Coturnix japonica: one gene and its partner. The protein of the gene in region 1 interacts with the protein of each later gene in a biochemical or structural test. Links are inferred from orthologs where the notes say so. Each region holds a gene or a part of one and is shown on either strand. Other genes may lie near its edges. The genes, in order: SH3GL2 and SYNJ1.

What was found.
Region 2: the proteins of SH3GL2 (region 1) and SYNJ1 form a complex in vitro, tested with the Homo sapiens proteins (2 studies listed by BioGRID and IntAct, with this or other methods). The link is inferred for Coturnix japonica from reciprocal best matches to the Homo sapiens genes SH3GL2 and SYNJ1.

Annotation. Positions count from the first base shown.
Region 1 is NC_029547.1:29,793,133-29,800,871, forward strand, and holds the end of SH3GL2 (endophilin-A1), read left to right. Parts: intron 1-84; coding exon 85-188; intron 189-1,852; coding exon 1,853-1,986; intron 1,987-4,264; coding exon 4,265-4,464; 3' UTR 4,465-5,754; downstream 5,755-7,739. UniProt on the Homo sapiens protein: Implicated in synaptic vesicle endocytosis. May recruit other proteins to membranes with high curvature. Required for BDNF-dependent dendrite outgrowth.
Region 2 is NC_029516.1:94,510,289-94,518,113, forward strand, and holds the start of SYNJ1 (synaptojanin-1), read right to left. Parts: upstream 5,231-7,825; 5' UTR 5,226-5,230; coding exon 5,137-5,225; intron 4,077-5,136; coding exon 3,931-4,076; intron 1-3,930. UniProt on the Homo sapiens protein: Phosphatase that acts on various phosphoinositides, including phosphatidylinositol 4-phosphate, phosphatidylinositol (4,5)-bisphosphate and phosphatidylinositol (3,4,5)-trisphosphate. Has a role in clathrin-mediated endocytosis.

The DNA of each region.
Region 1 (7,739 bases):
TGCAGTTTCAGTGTGACAGTGTTTGCTTTCTATTGCTGATGTGTAATGATGTGACCTAAGATATGTTTTCATGTCAATCGTCAGATTGAACAAGTGAGCCAGCTTTCTGCTCTTGTACAAGCCCAACTGGAGTACCACAAGCAGGCCACACAGATCCTTCAGCGAGTTACTTCTAAGCTGGAAGACAGGTAATGCTCTTTTTCTTAATTTATTGAACTGGCTTTTATGCATTGCAGAGGGAGAAAATCTATGAATCGAATGCAAAAATGTGGGGTTTTTTTGAATGTGTTAATTGTATGTATAAAAAAAAAAACTACCTGAGTAGGTAACTGCAAATCGAGATTTATGTATTTTGAAAATAGAAATACAACTGAGTATGACTGAGTGAGATCTGAGCTGAAGGCAGAAACTCAGTTCACTAAGGCTATTAATTAAATTTAATTGAATACTTGTGTTTAGATGCACTGGATGCCAGCTGTACATATAACTTTATTCTCCTTTCCATTCCGATGTTAATTCTGAAGTGGTCTTTTCAGAGATGTTAATGCTAGGAAAAGAGTAGATTCTGTTCCACCTGAAGGGGATCTCCCAGTACAGTGTAATTGCCATCTTGTTAATTAATCTTCAGGGTTTTTTTGTTTTGTTTTGTTTTGTTTTTTTTTCAGTCAAATCACTCTTGAGATGAGACTTAACTGAGTTTACCTCTTCCATCCACTTAACTAGGAAGGCCGAATTTATGTATCTTTTAAATTTTCTTTTCTTTTTTTTTTTTTGTTTTCTTTTGCTTTGTTTCTATCAGCACAAAGTAGATTGTATGTCCTTGAGATGAGGAAAGTAACATTTTTTAAAAGTTCACCAGTCTCCTACACATCCTTCAAGGAAACATGATGTAGGTTCCTCGTGTTTTTGAAGGGCTACTCCTAAAAGTTAGCCATGATTCCCTATGTTTGTATTCTATATGAAAGCCACACTTTGGTTGCAGATAGTTCTTTGCTGCTTTCTGTCACTTCTGTATATTTTGTTTCTGGTGCTACTGGATCTGCTGGTATTTATTTTCTCAGAGTATGTAGTCTGTAAACCTGATCCAGTTTTAACTCTTGAAGTTTCTTTGAGATTACAAGTGGATAGTCTACTTCTGGCTACAGTTTACAAGCCAATCTGCACTTTGAATGTAGGGGTCTTGACTCAGGTATTCTTACCTGCATGATATTAGAAAGTCATTCTGCATAAATTGCTAGAATTCTATCTATCCAAGAATCTGAAAAGGTTCTCTTTGCTAGAAATTATTGATTTCTTAATTTGAAGAGTTAATTGAAGTGAATGTTGCATAACATTTTTATCCTGAGAGTCAGGAAAACTGGTGATGTGTGTCTCTATGAAGCAAGTAGTCCCAATTACACATGAAAAAGTCTGCAGCAGAAGTCAATAGGTTCTCACACGGTCTCCTCATAAAATGACAAGTGTTGGCATTAAACTGCTGAATGATTAAGGGCTGACAGCAATAGCAGCAAAATAACTACTGTCAGTCAAGATACAAATCTATTAGAGGTATTCCCTAAGTATTGCTAGATCATATCACAAAGTTTTCTTTATTAGGAGCTCTTGTTATTGTTAAGAGGATCTTGGCCAAAATGCTAATTCAGGGAAAAGAAAAATGAGTAAATTAACGGCATAGTCACGTAAGGTGATAATTTAAATAAATGGGTTAAATAACAATTACTCAAAGTGCCAAAACTTGTTTAGAGTGGCTGATTAACAAAGATTAAGTTTTAGCCTTGGAAATGTTGTTTGGTGCATCTCATCTGTTCAAGGAAGTAAGCCTTGACATTTGACTAATTTCATGTTTTGACAGAATAAAAGAGGCATCATCTCAGCCTAAAAGAGAATACCAGCCCAAACCTCGTATGAGCCTGGATTTCACAACTGGTGGTGACAATACCCAGCACAATGGAGGAATATCCCATGCCACCACTCCAAAACCAGCAGGTAACAGCAGTAGCAGTGAGAGAAAATTTTTAAAAAGGCCAAATCTAGCAGAATTTTTCTACAGTGCAAACATTCTTCCTAGAGGGTAGTTCTTCCTTAGTAAGGAAAATGAGAATGAGGATAGTGCAGAAGAACTATTTGAACTGTTTGAATTAACTACATTGTTCTATTGAAGGACCTAGGCTGGTTGCAAAGCATAGTACAGAATTTTTCGTAAAACACTAATTTCTTCAGGCAGAAAAACATAGATGGATCATCCATTTTTGGGTCAAAAATGTCCTTAGTGCTAGAGCTATAAAGACTTGCTGCCATACTGAACTCCTCTTGAAATACAGATCATAGAACAGGCATTTAGAAAACTCAGAGATCGACTGCAGGTTTTCAATGAAATACAGAACTCTGCAACACTGAAAATCTCAGTAATCCCCAAACCCTACTTTTTAAAAAACAGGCATTATGGTACGTATGACTTGAAATTAAATATCACTAAAACCAGAAACAGCGGCAAATGAGGTATGATGTCTGTTCAATGGTGAGCAGCATAAACAAGGTGAAACATTTACATGACTGTACATCATTAGTATCTTCAAGATGTATTTTATTTCCTATCAGCATGTACTATGAAAGCTTTATCTTTTGTTCATCACAGTAACAGTCTGCTAATATGTATTATCATGACAGTTGTCCTCTTCCCAGACCCTGACCTCAACTATTCCAACTGACCTCAATGACAATGGCTTGCACACTCTATGTTGCAAGATTAAATGCTTTTCACTGGATCAGATTTTCTTCCTTCTCATAGTATCCCAGTGTGAATGTTTAAAATTCTCCCAGATATATGCGGCAACCTTATCTTTGTTTGGCAAGTGGAAATGGTCTTGTAAACTAGGAATTTTGTGATTATGCACACAAAGAATGGGGGTTAAATTGGGGATTCCTTGTGCACGAGTGTAGCTTCAGTCCTGTACAGTAAAAATCTCCATGTCACACCACCACAATTTCCTTCTTCACTCATATTTTTGTGGTGTTGTGAACACTTCTTTGTGATGAGATTGTACAAACTGATATTCCTGTCTCTCTCAGAGAGCAATATGTAACATTTTCGTCAGTAGGAGTTCTTTCTTTTGAGGGGCTCATTATTTTTACAGAAACATCTTCTTTTAAAATTCCTTAATGTAGATTTGTGTTAATTCATTCAAAGATTTCCTCTTTTCACTAAATCCTGCTCTACTGACATCTATAGAAAAGGAATATTCTTATCCTAAAATAGCTCAAGCATGGATCTTCTAGCTATGGGGAGCAGTTCAAATGAATATTTAAAAAGTCTGAATGTGAAATCAGTTCATCCTGGAACTGGTACATGTAAAAAAGCTGAAACAAACATATTCCCAGAATTGGCACGATTTAGATGCATGTGTCATTTCATTCTGACCAGTAGAAGTGCACAGACATTAACAACGGAAAATCAGATAGGGATATAAGTTTAATAAATGCTGATAAATCTTAAATATTTTGACTATGAACTGCTTTTGGTAGGCTTAACTCTATAGAATCTTTGGGGATTGAGGGAAGGATATGAGCACAAGGAGGAAATAATATTTCTAGATTTCATATGACCAATTAAAATCTAATCTAATAATTATAATAATACCCATTAACCATGCTAAATGATTTATGGTTAGATATTCATGAAATATCATATTAGAAAGATTTCCATTTCAGACTGTGCCAAAACAATTCTGATGCTGATCTAATCATCAGTTGTTTCATGGGAATAAGAAGGTTTTCTTTGGAAAGCTTGTACAAAAATTCATGAGGTCAGGAGCATATAGGACAGTTTACACAATAGTTGTACCAATGAAGATTTCAAATAAAGACACAGTTTTATTTTCATTGCTGTTTTAAGATATCATTTTGCTATTTCCTTGAGACACAGGCAAAGCATTTCTGTGCCAGTAAAACTGGAACTATGTTTGGGCTTTTGCTTCATTTTTTGTGTTTTGTAAACAGATAAAAATTAGATCCCAGACTGGTAGTAGTTATTCTTTTAAGTGTAGGCTTGAATGTAATTTAGATCTTTTAGTATTCTCAATTTCCAAAAGTTGCTAACTATCTTCTAATACAGTTTAGCTGCCTAGATTTAGATGCTGTCAGAGGACTGCCATCGCCATATGAAATACACGGGAAACAGCAAAATTTAAATGAAGTAAAAAGTTTAAAATGATAGCATAACTGCTGAGATTTTAAAATGTTATTTCTTTCTCTTTCTTATCCATAGGTGCTCACATGGATCAGCCATGCTGCCGAGCTCTGTATGACTTTGAACCAGAAAATGAAGGAGAGCTGGGATTTAAAGAGGGTGATATCATTACCCTCACTAACCAGATTGATGAAAACTGGTATGAAGGGATGCTTCATGGCCAGTCAGGATTCTTCCCCATCAATTATGTCGATATTCTAGTTCCTTTACCCAATTAAGATAGCTGATCCACCACCTCTGTTCCAGATAGTAATGTCAGTACCACTGCTTTCAAAATGCTGCTTCTTACACCTTACAAGTGCAAACTGCAGTGGTTAGAATCGTCAAGTCCCACTGAGCATCTTTGGTTTATGTGTTGTCATACTGCGTAGTGGTGATGCGTGGTATCTTCTGAGCCAACATAGTGTGGGTTAGACCACTTGGCCACACTGACCTCGTGGTAACCAGAGTACTGCTGAGATGATGTTGGGAAGATGATGGCAAGCCAAACAGGTGACTCATGGTGAAGTAGCAGGAAGTGAAGGTGGTACTGGGAAGATAATGCCTATCACCACTGTATTACTTTTCAGTCTTAGTTCTTTGTAAAAAGAGGGAAAAGTTCTTGCCATTCCATCTTTCCCTTCCTGATGATACAGTTCACATGAGTCTAACCATGACTAACAAGAATTGTATCTTCTGACCAAAATGGCTTGCTATTCTCACAGAGACGGTATAAATATAGACGCTCTGGTTTCTCAGAAAGCGAACCACTGTACTGCGTGCCCTTCTGGTCTCTGCTCATTTTTGTATTTTTGATTGTTATTAAAAGACCTATTTCCATCTGTAGGTAAACTTCGAACCATAAAAAGGGGATTCCTATAGTAAAGAGCTTGAACCACAAACTACATGAATTTGCCCTTCATAAACTTTGAGCATGCTCAATAAAATGCCGGTAGAAGGGCAAGATGGGGGATAAAACTGTTATTAGTGTTAACTGTTTGTTGTCAAGTTTTGGCACAAAATCATGCTGCTTAAGCACCAGATAGTCTTTTTAAACTCATTCACTGTGGAGGAAAACCAACCAAAATACTATCTTCCCTGCTTTTATTTCTGTCTACCATGTGTTCTTCGAACATCATTTGTGTGTATTCTGCCCTCAATGAGGACTAAATAAAACTTATTTCTTTTTGTGTTGAGCAATTAAAGACATGTGGCTGTATATGCAAAAACATTTCCCCATATGTTTAGTTCACTCTTTTTTTTTCCTCCTTACTGCACTTGGTGTGTACAGTGCTGTGCCTAGCTTCTCAGCCTTCTTTCAGATGCAAAAGTTCTGTTAGTTTAGTAATCCAGAGTTCTATTTATGTAAACTATAGAGACTCTCTTTCAGAAGTTTAATGTGCTGCTTTGAACGTGCCACTTCAGTACTGGATGATGTGAAATGATGACAATTCCCTACTGCTTAATATATAAACTGTATCATGGAATATTGATATTTCAAATAAATGCTGAGAGAATAACTGGAATAATTTTGTGAATTATTATTTTATTCTTTAAAAATCTCTTGTGCTTAACTTTGACTAACAAGAATTTTGTTTTGGAAAATGTGTTTCTCAAGCCTGACTTGAAAATGTGAAAAAAAAAAAGATTTTTATATTGTTGCATGGCTTCTCTGAATTGAAACCCATATATGTAAAATGATCTTCATAAATAGGGTAGGCTGAACATCAAGCACATAAAGTTAATGTCATTATGACCAGCATGCAGTCTTGTGGAGACAGGATAGTTCCTGTTCAAGTATGCTGTGTTTCGAAAAAAAAAACACCAAGTAATGCTTAGACATACTTGTAATAGTATTTTGAGGGTTTTATATTAGAGTTACATAGGGTTTATATTCTTTGTTGTACAGATATGATCATGGGTTAGCCTTGACAAAGAACCAGGCACCTACCCAACGGCTTGCTCTTGGTCTCTTCTCAGTGGGTAGGGAGGAAAAATGGGAAGAGAAAGCTTGTGAGCCAAGATAAATACAGGGAGGTAATTTGCTTGTTACCATCACTGACAAAGTGACTATATGGGGTTTATGTGCCAAGGTTTTGGTAGCAGGGGAGCTGCAGTGGTGACTTCTGTGAGAAGAGTCCAGAAACTGCCCTATATTAGATAAAAGCCAGTTCCAGCTGTCTAGAAAACTCACTGCTAGACAGTGAGAGACACATCTGTGCTTCTGGGAGAGCATATATAAGAAATGGAGAAAAATGCTCTGCAGCAGCAGCAACTTTGTGGAGGATGGGGAAACATGTTATGGAGCAGTGCTGAAGCAGTATTTGGATTGTTGCAGCCTGTGGGAAGCCCATGTGAGATCAGTTTGGGAAGCACAGCATCCTATGGTGGAAGTCCACATGCCACAGCGCCAGAGTGACCATGGAGGAGCAGCAGAGATGTAGTGTTCTGTTCTGACTGCAGCTCCCATTGCCAGTTCCACCTGTACTTCACTGGGGAAGGAGGTAGAATAGGATGAATGGGGGGACATTTTTTTTTATATTTCTTTTAGTTCTCACTTCTCTATGTTATCAGTAATAGGTAATAAATTACATTAGTCTCCCTATACTTAGTCTGTTTTACCCATAACAGTAATTGTTGAGTGATCTCCCTGTCCTTATCTTGACCCTTGAGCCCTTTTCCATTTTATTTTTTCTCTTTCTTTTTGCTCATTGAGAATGAGAGAGCAGTGTGGTGGAGTTTAGCTGGTAATATTCCTTTTAGACATGACAGCATGACAGCATTACTTGACATTTCCCTTTGTTGAAACCTGTTAATTTTCTATTGGCCAGTTTCTCCAGCCTGTATAGGCCCTTCTAGCTGGATGCAGAGTCCTTTGGTATATTAGCCACTCTTCACCACATTTTATCACCAGTGAAGTTGTAGAGGTTGCGCTCTGCCTAATTGCCCAGACCACTAGGGAAGATGTTGAACATGCTTGGACCTAATTTTGACTGCTGAAGTATATCACTTCTGGCTGGCCTTCTACTGGTCTTTGTGCCATTGATTCACAATGGGGTAGATTCAGTCATTCAGCTAGTTTTCACATCCACATATATTAACAGCTTACCCATGAGGATGCTAAATTGCAGACACTGTATGACTGAGAATGGTTAGAAAATAATAAATTACATGTATATCTGTAGCACTTGTCTATATATGTATAGCTGAATGTACTCTGCAGAAGTGCTTTATAGCGGGTTTCTTAAATATTACATCTGACATCTATTTCTTAAATTTTACATCTGACATCTATTTTCATGATAGTTTTTTGGAAAAAAAAAATCATAGAAACAAAGAAAAAAACAGATTTGGAGAGTTATCTAGGAGGCTAGTCCAACCTTCTGCTTTGAAGATGTTTGATTAGTTCATACAGGGCCATGCACAATGAAGTCCTGAACATATCAAAGTTGTAGCTGTGGATTCTCCAAACTTTTTTTTTCCTGCTACAGATAGACAGAACATTTTTATTATC
Region 2 (7,825 bases), on another chromosome or scaffold:
CACACATGTATATACAAAGACATAGACGCATTTATATATATATAAAGGCTTATTTTGAAGCAGGGGGATTGAAACCAGATGATCATTGTGGTACTTTTCAACCCAGGCCATCCTATGATTCTATGAAAAACAGCATGTAGAAATTTCTATTGAAATGGTCTCCCTCCCTAATTTTAAGGGGATGCAGTTCCACTCATAAGGCTGCACTAGCGTTATTTGGTGATAAAGAAAAAAATCACACAGTGGCATGATGCTGTGTTATCCTGCCCATTACGATTATGTACACACATAGGCGGTGCTCAAATATCTGTCACTATGTTTCTTTTCTGGGTAGCTCAGTTTCCTAAACCATCACCAACCCAAAGCTTCTTGCAAAATGCTTACACCCCCGTCTGCTACTGTGGATAGATACAATCTATCTGCTACTTCTCTTCCCAGTGCAGCATATCATAGTGTTTGAAGTGGAATGTGAATGGGTGATAGTACCGGGACACCCGCAGCAAGTGTAGGCTGTTGCAGTTCTTCCTCCATCTAGCTCAACAAAAAGCTCAGGGTGGATACAGTGCCTCTTCTTGTGTTTCTACCTGCTCCCTTTTCAGCCTTGCATGAAACCAAACTCCAACGATGTGCACAAAGCTCCATCTCTTCGTGCTCAGGGCTCAGATTTTCCCAAACGACAGAACATTCTTCTTTACTCATCACAGGCGACAGGAGTAAAAGCAGCTTCCCACTCCTTTCATTGTGACTCACCAGAGAGGCACAAGGAGAGAGAACAATCTCCCATTCAATCAATGAAATCTCTGCAGGTAAGATACCTCATTAAAGACTCCTGTTTCATAGAATAAATAGACCGCCTATTTTACATGCCAAATAATTAAAAAAAACAGATCAGTGACATCCTCCAAGTAAATGCTAAACAAAGAAGCAGTCGAGCTGCTGACATTTAAAACCAAATGCTCTTATAAGGCCTTGAGAAGCAGGCTGGCAGGATCCTTTCAGACTTCAATATCCTGGGCTAACCTGGTACTAGGCATGAGCTGATCAAAGAGGTGCTGGGTATTTTTATGTAAGGCAAGAGAAGTATTTCTCAGAGCTTTTGGTCATGCTAACTAATGCACATTACAAGCAGTGCACAGACCACTTCCAGCAGAGGCAAGGCTTGGACTGTTTCCATTTTAAGACTGAATGATTATGCAACAATAACCCCTGTGAACTACCCCCTTCTGCCCTCTTCCTTTCTTCATGAATAACACACGCTGTAAAACCAAGCAGCATATGAATTGTAGAGCACTACATACAGAGGCCAAACAAAACTCTTTGAATTAATCTTGCAATGCTTTGTTGAATGGAGAGGGGATGAAAGTTAATACCATTATCCTTCCCTCGGCAAAATGACAGATGGACTTCAGCTAAGATGACATTTAAGGGACCGGTAAACTTGAGTTCCTTTATCTCAGCCCAGTTCAAGTCCTGATTACTGCACATGCATACTCCAAAAGATGAGGTTCACTGAGGTTCTCAGAACTGAGTCACATCAATCACTTTCAATTCTAAGTGTATTTCACTGGGTTGTACATATGCTATGTATTCTACAGCCAGGCAGGAGCTGTCATAGGGCATAAGGCTAAACAACAAATCTTCAGTATTTAATAAAATCTTATACACTTACATAAAGAAACCATCAAACTCTAGCAGAATAGAAGGAAAATAATCTAAACAAGGGAAGTTCAGCACCTTTCTGCTATCAAATCAAGGTTGACTGTGGTCTTACAACCATTAAAAGAATCATTCAGTAAAGAATTTAGGCTCAAACAAACAAAAAAAACTAGAATGAACTGCCACAGCATAACACATTGGGAAAATAAGCTCATCCATCAGAGTAAGCAGTTCAGAATCTTAAGTTACTGAAAGCAGTATTTAGAGTAACTACTTGTAACTAGGCATAAATATTTACTGTATTGCAACCTACCAATCAGAATACCAAGGACAGCTCTTACAAAGTAGGAAGAAGCTATTACAAAGTACAGGACCCAAGAAGAGCCAGGCTGCTGAAATTCTTCTGGGTTTCAATTCCTGTTTGATTACAATGCAAGGCATAGGAGAGGGCAGAATTTCAACACAGATATAAACAGTGAATTTCTAGAGAAGACAGTCTACTCAGCTACCTGCACTGTATCACAGCACAAGAAAACATTAACTCCTTTGACTTTCTGAGCATAACTTCCAAGAATAAATTACTTTGAATACATTCCTGCTTAGGTACCTTAAACAAGTGCACTGATTACTGAACATATACTAAAATAAAATGTTTCCATAATTCTTCACATTATTCCCATGCTGTACTGTTCTTACTAAGTATGTTCTTTATCTTCATGATAAGACACTTACTTCCATCACAAACCACACTACACAATGCCTTTCAAATACTGCTGGCAAAGTCAACAAGATAAGTTACACAAATATTAAGAAGAAACTGTAACAGATAAAAACAAATATCAAAAAATGGGAAGAAAGCACTCACAGTTTTTGACATTGATAACTGTGAGTTAATTTCATTTGTAATGTCAACTGTGCTAGCAAGTCCCATGGCTAGACCTGTATCGGATCATAGCAGCTCCAAATATCACATTAACTAAGGTACAGATTGAGACACAGGCAAGAGAGCACTAGCTCACACAGCCGGTTCAGCACAAACTATGGCCTGATTTCTAAGCACTTAACTTGCAGGATACAGGGTCAGCCAGGTGCCTCACAAAGAGGCAATGCCACAGCTAAGGAGTGCATCAGGCATACAAACAATTACAGATACCAAAGGTAGGGTAGGGAATGCATCTCCAATCCCACTTCAGAACTCCCACTTCTAACCTTCAGCCTTGCTGTAGGAGGGAACATGTTGCCGGCTCAGCCCACTCTACCCTATCTGGGCCAGAGCACCCTACGGGGAGACAACAACCCACCTGTGAGCCCTGTAAGGCTGCAGGCAATGCATTACAACCTCACACTGGGCACCAATTTTCAACAAAAATTGATCCATTCAAAAGAAGTACATCCACAGTACTCAAGCTTTCCACAAGATTCAAGAATCACAGAATCACAGAATGACCCGGGTTGGAAGGGACCTCAAGGGTCATGTAGTTCCAACCCCCCTGCCTGGCAGGGCCACCAAACATACACATTTACTAGATCAGGTTGCCCAGAAGAAGCCTAGGAACTCTTGGCAACCTGGTGCTCAGGCCTTTGTACTGAAGAATACAAACCAAAGTATATTTTTAGACCCTGTCTGTAGGTTTAAAGGATCTTTTCTGCACTTCCTGTTTTAGAGCCCTCCTTCGACTCTGACTTGAAAAAACACAAGCATTTGATGCATTTAGCACTGAAAGCACATAAAAATGACTATGCAATACAAGACATCTTGCTCAAAACATTGACTGACTTTATTATGAGATGATCTAACACACAATGTATGGTGATAGGTTAAAAACACAGGTGCAACATAGATTTAAAAACAAAAAAAAAACCCATCTAAGTCATAATACAAAGTGAGATAAACAAACTAAGATGATGCACCATTTAAGAATACAGCACTTTGTAATAAGTGCACCACAGATTTTGCTTTTTAATGAGTCATTGTGTACTCAAAGGCAGACGATTGCTCAGAACCAAAGATAAGCAGACGCTGGCAGATATTGGAAGAATATTTTGTATACATGGCAATACATATTCATGATGAAAATCTAATTAAATGTGTAAAATTCTCTTTCCAACAGATAAAGATACGAAACATTTCTTCCATTTAAATCAAAAGGATCTCCATTAGCAAATAAAAACCAGAATTGCTGCTTCTTCCTTATCTGTCATAAATAAAAACAGCTTCCACAACGTCAAGGTTGCCAGTTTTTTCATTGTATTTATCAAAACATAGTGACTTACAGAGGACAGCCACGGCTCCAGATTCAAACATGAGACATTCTTCTCTGTTTCTGGCTTCCACTATCACGCTGAACGGGAGCGGATCCAGCTTGTGATAGACACGATATCCTTTACTGAAAGCCATTTTGCCTTTATCGCTGGCAGTCCTGTCCAACACAAGATGATGTTAGTGAGAGCTTCCTGTGCTTCCAGATACCTTCTGCAGAACAGGTCTGACTTCCATTCTTTCCTAAGAATTTTACAGATCTAACAACAAAAAAGAGAAAAAGAAGAAAAGAGATGCTCACTCTTTCTAGTTCATGAGATTTACTTTATGTTTCAAAACAAATATATCTAAAGATAGCTTAAAGACAACATGCCAGCATTGCAAAAACATAATTGCCCAGAGCAGCACAAAGGATTTATTTAAGATCTCCTCCAGAACAACCAGAATTTCTTTTGCAATACCTAAACCAGACTCAGAGAAACTGGAGATGAGGTTCTCCTTTAGTCGCCACAAACACATTAGAGCAGCAGCAACCTTCTGCTGAACACAGAGGGCCAGGAGCTTCAGTTTTACGATGCCTTTTGCTCATGCTGACCTTGTATAAAAGGACACTACATTTCAAACAGTAAAGCTGCTAAGAGGCTTTGGAATAACATACAGAGACGATAACCTACTGCTTGGTTTCTCTTTATAAACGAACGCGGAGCTCCGTCTGGACTTAAGCCCTCCCTCGCAGCGGCTGACGATTAGAAAATCGCAGCACCGCACGAGAGAGACCGCTGACAAGCCATAAAGGTAACACCTTCCTTCGGAGCAATGAAAAAAAGCAATACCAAACCACAAAACACCAGCAGCCCACCGATATATCAGGGGCTGAAGGAATGCACAGAGCATAGAGGAGCGGCTAGAAAGCAGCGAACATGCTCCATTCCCGCAGCCCCACGCCGGTAACCTGAGGGCTGACAGCGGCACCGACCTTCCGCCCCCTCATACGACACAGGCAGGAGCGGCCGGCCAAGGAGCCGGCACCGGTCGAGCAGCCCCCGCCCCTCCACCTGCCCGGCGCCCGCGGCGCTGACAGAGCCTCCATCTTGTCTGGCGCCCGCGGCGCCCCCGCAGCCCGACACCCGCCACGGCGACAGCCGAGCGGGCTCCTCCCGTACCGACAGCCGCCCGCGGTGCCGCCGACCCGCCCCAATACCGGCCCCGCAGCTCCTCACCGGCCGCCACAGCTGCCGCCCGCTGCGCTCCCTGCCGCGGGAGCCGGCGGCACCTCACTTCCGCTCCGGCCCCTCCGTCCCTTCCGCATTGCGCCGCCCGCCACCGGAAGGCACGGGGAGGCGGCGGAGCCATGGTGGATGTTATGGCCGTGCTACCTTGGGGCGGTGAGGAGGGGGATGTGTGTCAGGACGGGGCTGGAGCCGAGCCCTTAGGGACAAGTATCCAGCAGGTTGAAGGAGGTGATCCTCCCCCTCTCCTCCCCCTCTGCTCTGCCTCATCTGGAATATTGTGTCCAGTTCTGGGCTCCCCAGTACAAAAAAGACAGGGATCTCTTGGAAAGAGTCCAGCGGAGGGCCACTAAGATGGTGAAGGGCCTGGAGCATCTCCCCTATGAGGAGAGACTTAGGGAACTGGGTCTGTTTAGCCTTGAGAAAAGAAGGCTGAGAGGGGACTTGATCCAGGTTTATAAATACCTGAGGTGTGGGAGCCATAGTGGCGAGGCTGGTCTCTTTTCAGTAGTGCGTGGGGACAGGACTAGGGGTAATGGGATGAAAGTACAGCATAGGAAGTTCCGCACGAATGTGCGGAAGAACTTCTTTACAGTGAGGGTGACGGAGCACTGGAACAGGCTGCCCAGGGAGGTGGTGGAGTCTCCTTCTCTGGAGATATTCAAGACCCGCCTGGACGCCTACCTGTGTGACGTGGTGTAGGGAGCCTGCTTTGGCAGGGGGGTTGGACTCGATGATCTCTAGAGGTCCCTTCCAACCCCTACAATTCTGTGATTCTGTGAAGTAGTACCCCTGCCCATTAAGCTGACTCTCTTGAAGGTAGGGAGGTCTTACAGAGAGACCTTGACAAATGGGAGGGCTGGGCAGTCACTGACTGCGTGGAGCTGAACAAGAGGAAATGCCAGAGGTACTTGGCAAGGTGTCACTAAAATCTTAAGGCAGAAAATAAGACAGTGCTCGAGAGCTTTGTTGAAATTTAGGCTATGAAAAGATGGGTTTACATATGTATGAAAAATATCACACTGAGTCTTGGAGATACATCTGTTATATGATACATTTCTGTTATGAAAACAGAATCACAGAATTACAGAATTATCAAGGTTGGAAAAGACCTAGAAGATCATATAGTTCAACCATTACCAATACTTCCCGGCTAAACCATATTCATCAACACAACATCCACATGTTTATTGAACACTCCCATGGTCGGTGACTCCACCACCTCCCTGGGCAGTGCATTCCAATGCCTGACTACCTTAGACATTTAAATATGTGCATGAAGCACAAAAGTGGAGTCAATGGGACAGGTCACATATATGAAGAAAAACAAACTTACCTCATGGTTTGGAGCAGAGACTTAAGTGGTCGGCTCTTGGATTATTAAGTGTGTTTATTGTTGTAGGCGTTAGTGAGGACTCTGTCTGCGATGAGGCAGGAACCCCCTTGTAAACAAACCTCCCTTTTATCACAATTCAGAATGTCCCCCAATTTTACATGCAATGTTATACATCTTCCCTGTTTCTAAACGATGCTAACTACCTAAAGAGGTTACTACATCTCAAGAGTTCCCATAGAATTTTGAGTATAACTAAGACTACCATGTCATATGGGATTTTATCACCTTCCAGGACATCAGTCTTTGAATATATTATGTGCATTGATTTTGATGGTGAATGCTAAGACAACACAAAGCCAACCATGGGAGAAGTAATTTTAAAGCAGGTGTGCTGAACTACTGGATTTTAAAGCAGTCACTCAACCAAGCAGCAGATATATAACGTTTTTGAAGACCACTTCATGAAGTGCAACTGCTTTGTTACATTTAATTTGAATCAATGATTGAGAACAATGGCTGAAGAAGGGCAGAAAGGCAAGTGGTTATTTTGCTTATAAAGGTTTTCTGTGGCTATATTTTATAACGAGATTAGAAGGAAGTAATTTTCTTGACCTCTTCCTTATTCTCCCAATTATTATCCAAACTGGAGCAAAATGCCTCCATTTTTACTAACAGCATTTAAAATTGTCTCAAGGTTTGGAGCCCTGAGCTACTGAAACTGCACTTATACACCTTCAAAACTTAACTGCAGGCTTGTATGTGCTATATTAGAAAAAAAGCAAAAGTTTGAGATGACAAAAATAGATAGCATGCATATTTTTTTCCTTTACCACTTAAAGGAACAAAGCTTATCAAGTTGCACTGCAGCAGCTCCTTGACAGACGAGTTTATTGAAACGATTTTTAAAAGCAGATATTCTGAATGTACTCCATCGATCTCAACAGTTCAGAAAAACAATTGTTCGGTGTCCAAATGAAGTGTGCATCTTACAAATGGTACATTTTTAATATATTCATTTATACCACGACATGACCTTAAAATACAATTAATCTTTATGTTCTCCAGGATGTCAATTTATTGCTATAATTCCCCCCGGAATGTCGGGTTCACCAAGAAAACAGCTCTTAATCCAAAGCTGCTACAGCTGTTTACATGCCTCAGACCCCAAAACCAAATTACTAGTGTTCCAACGTGGATCACCCTGTTTTAAAGGATTTTCCTTCTGATTTCCAAAAACTTAAATGCTTTGCTTTCCAAGACTGTATTCTTAGCTGGTATTTAGCAGGAAATGTAACATTTGAATATTTAGTACAGTATAAACACTTCAAATTCTAGGATATAAAG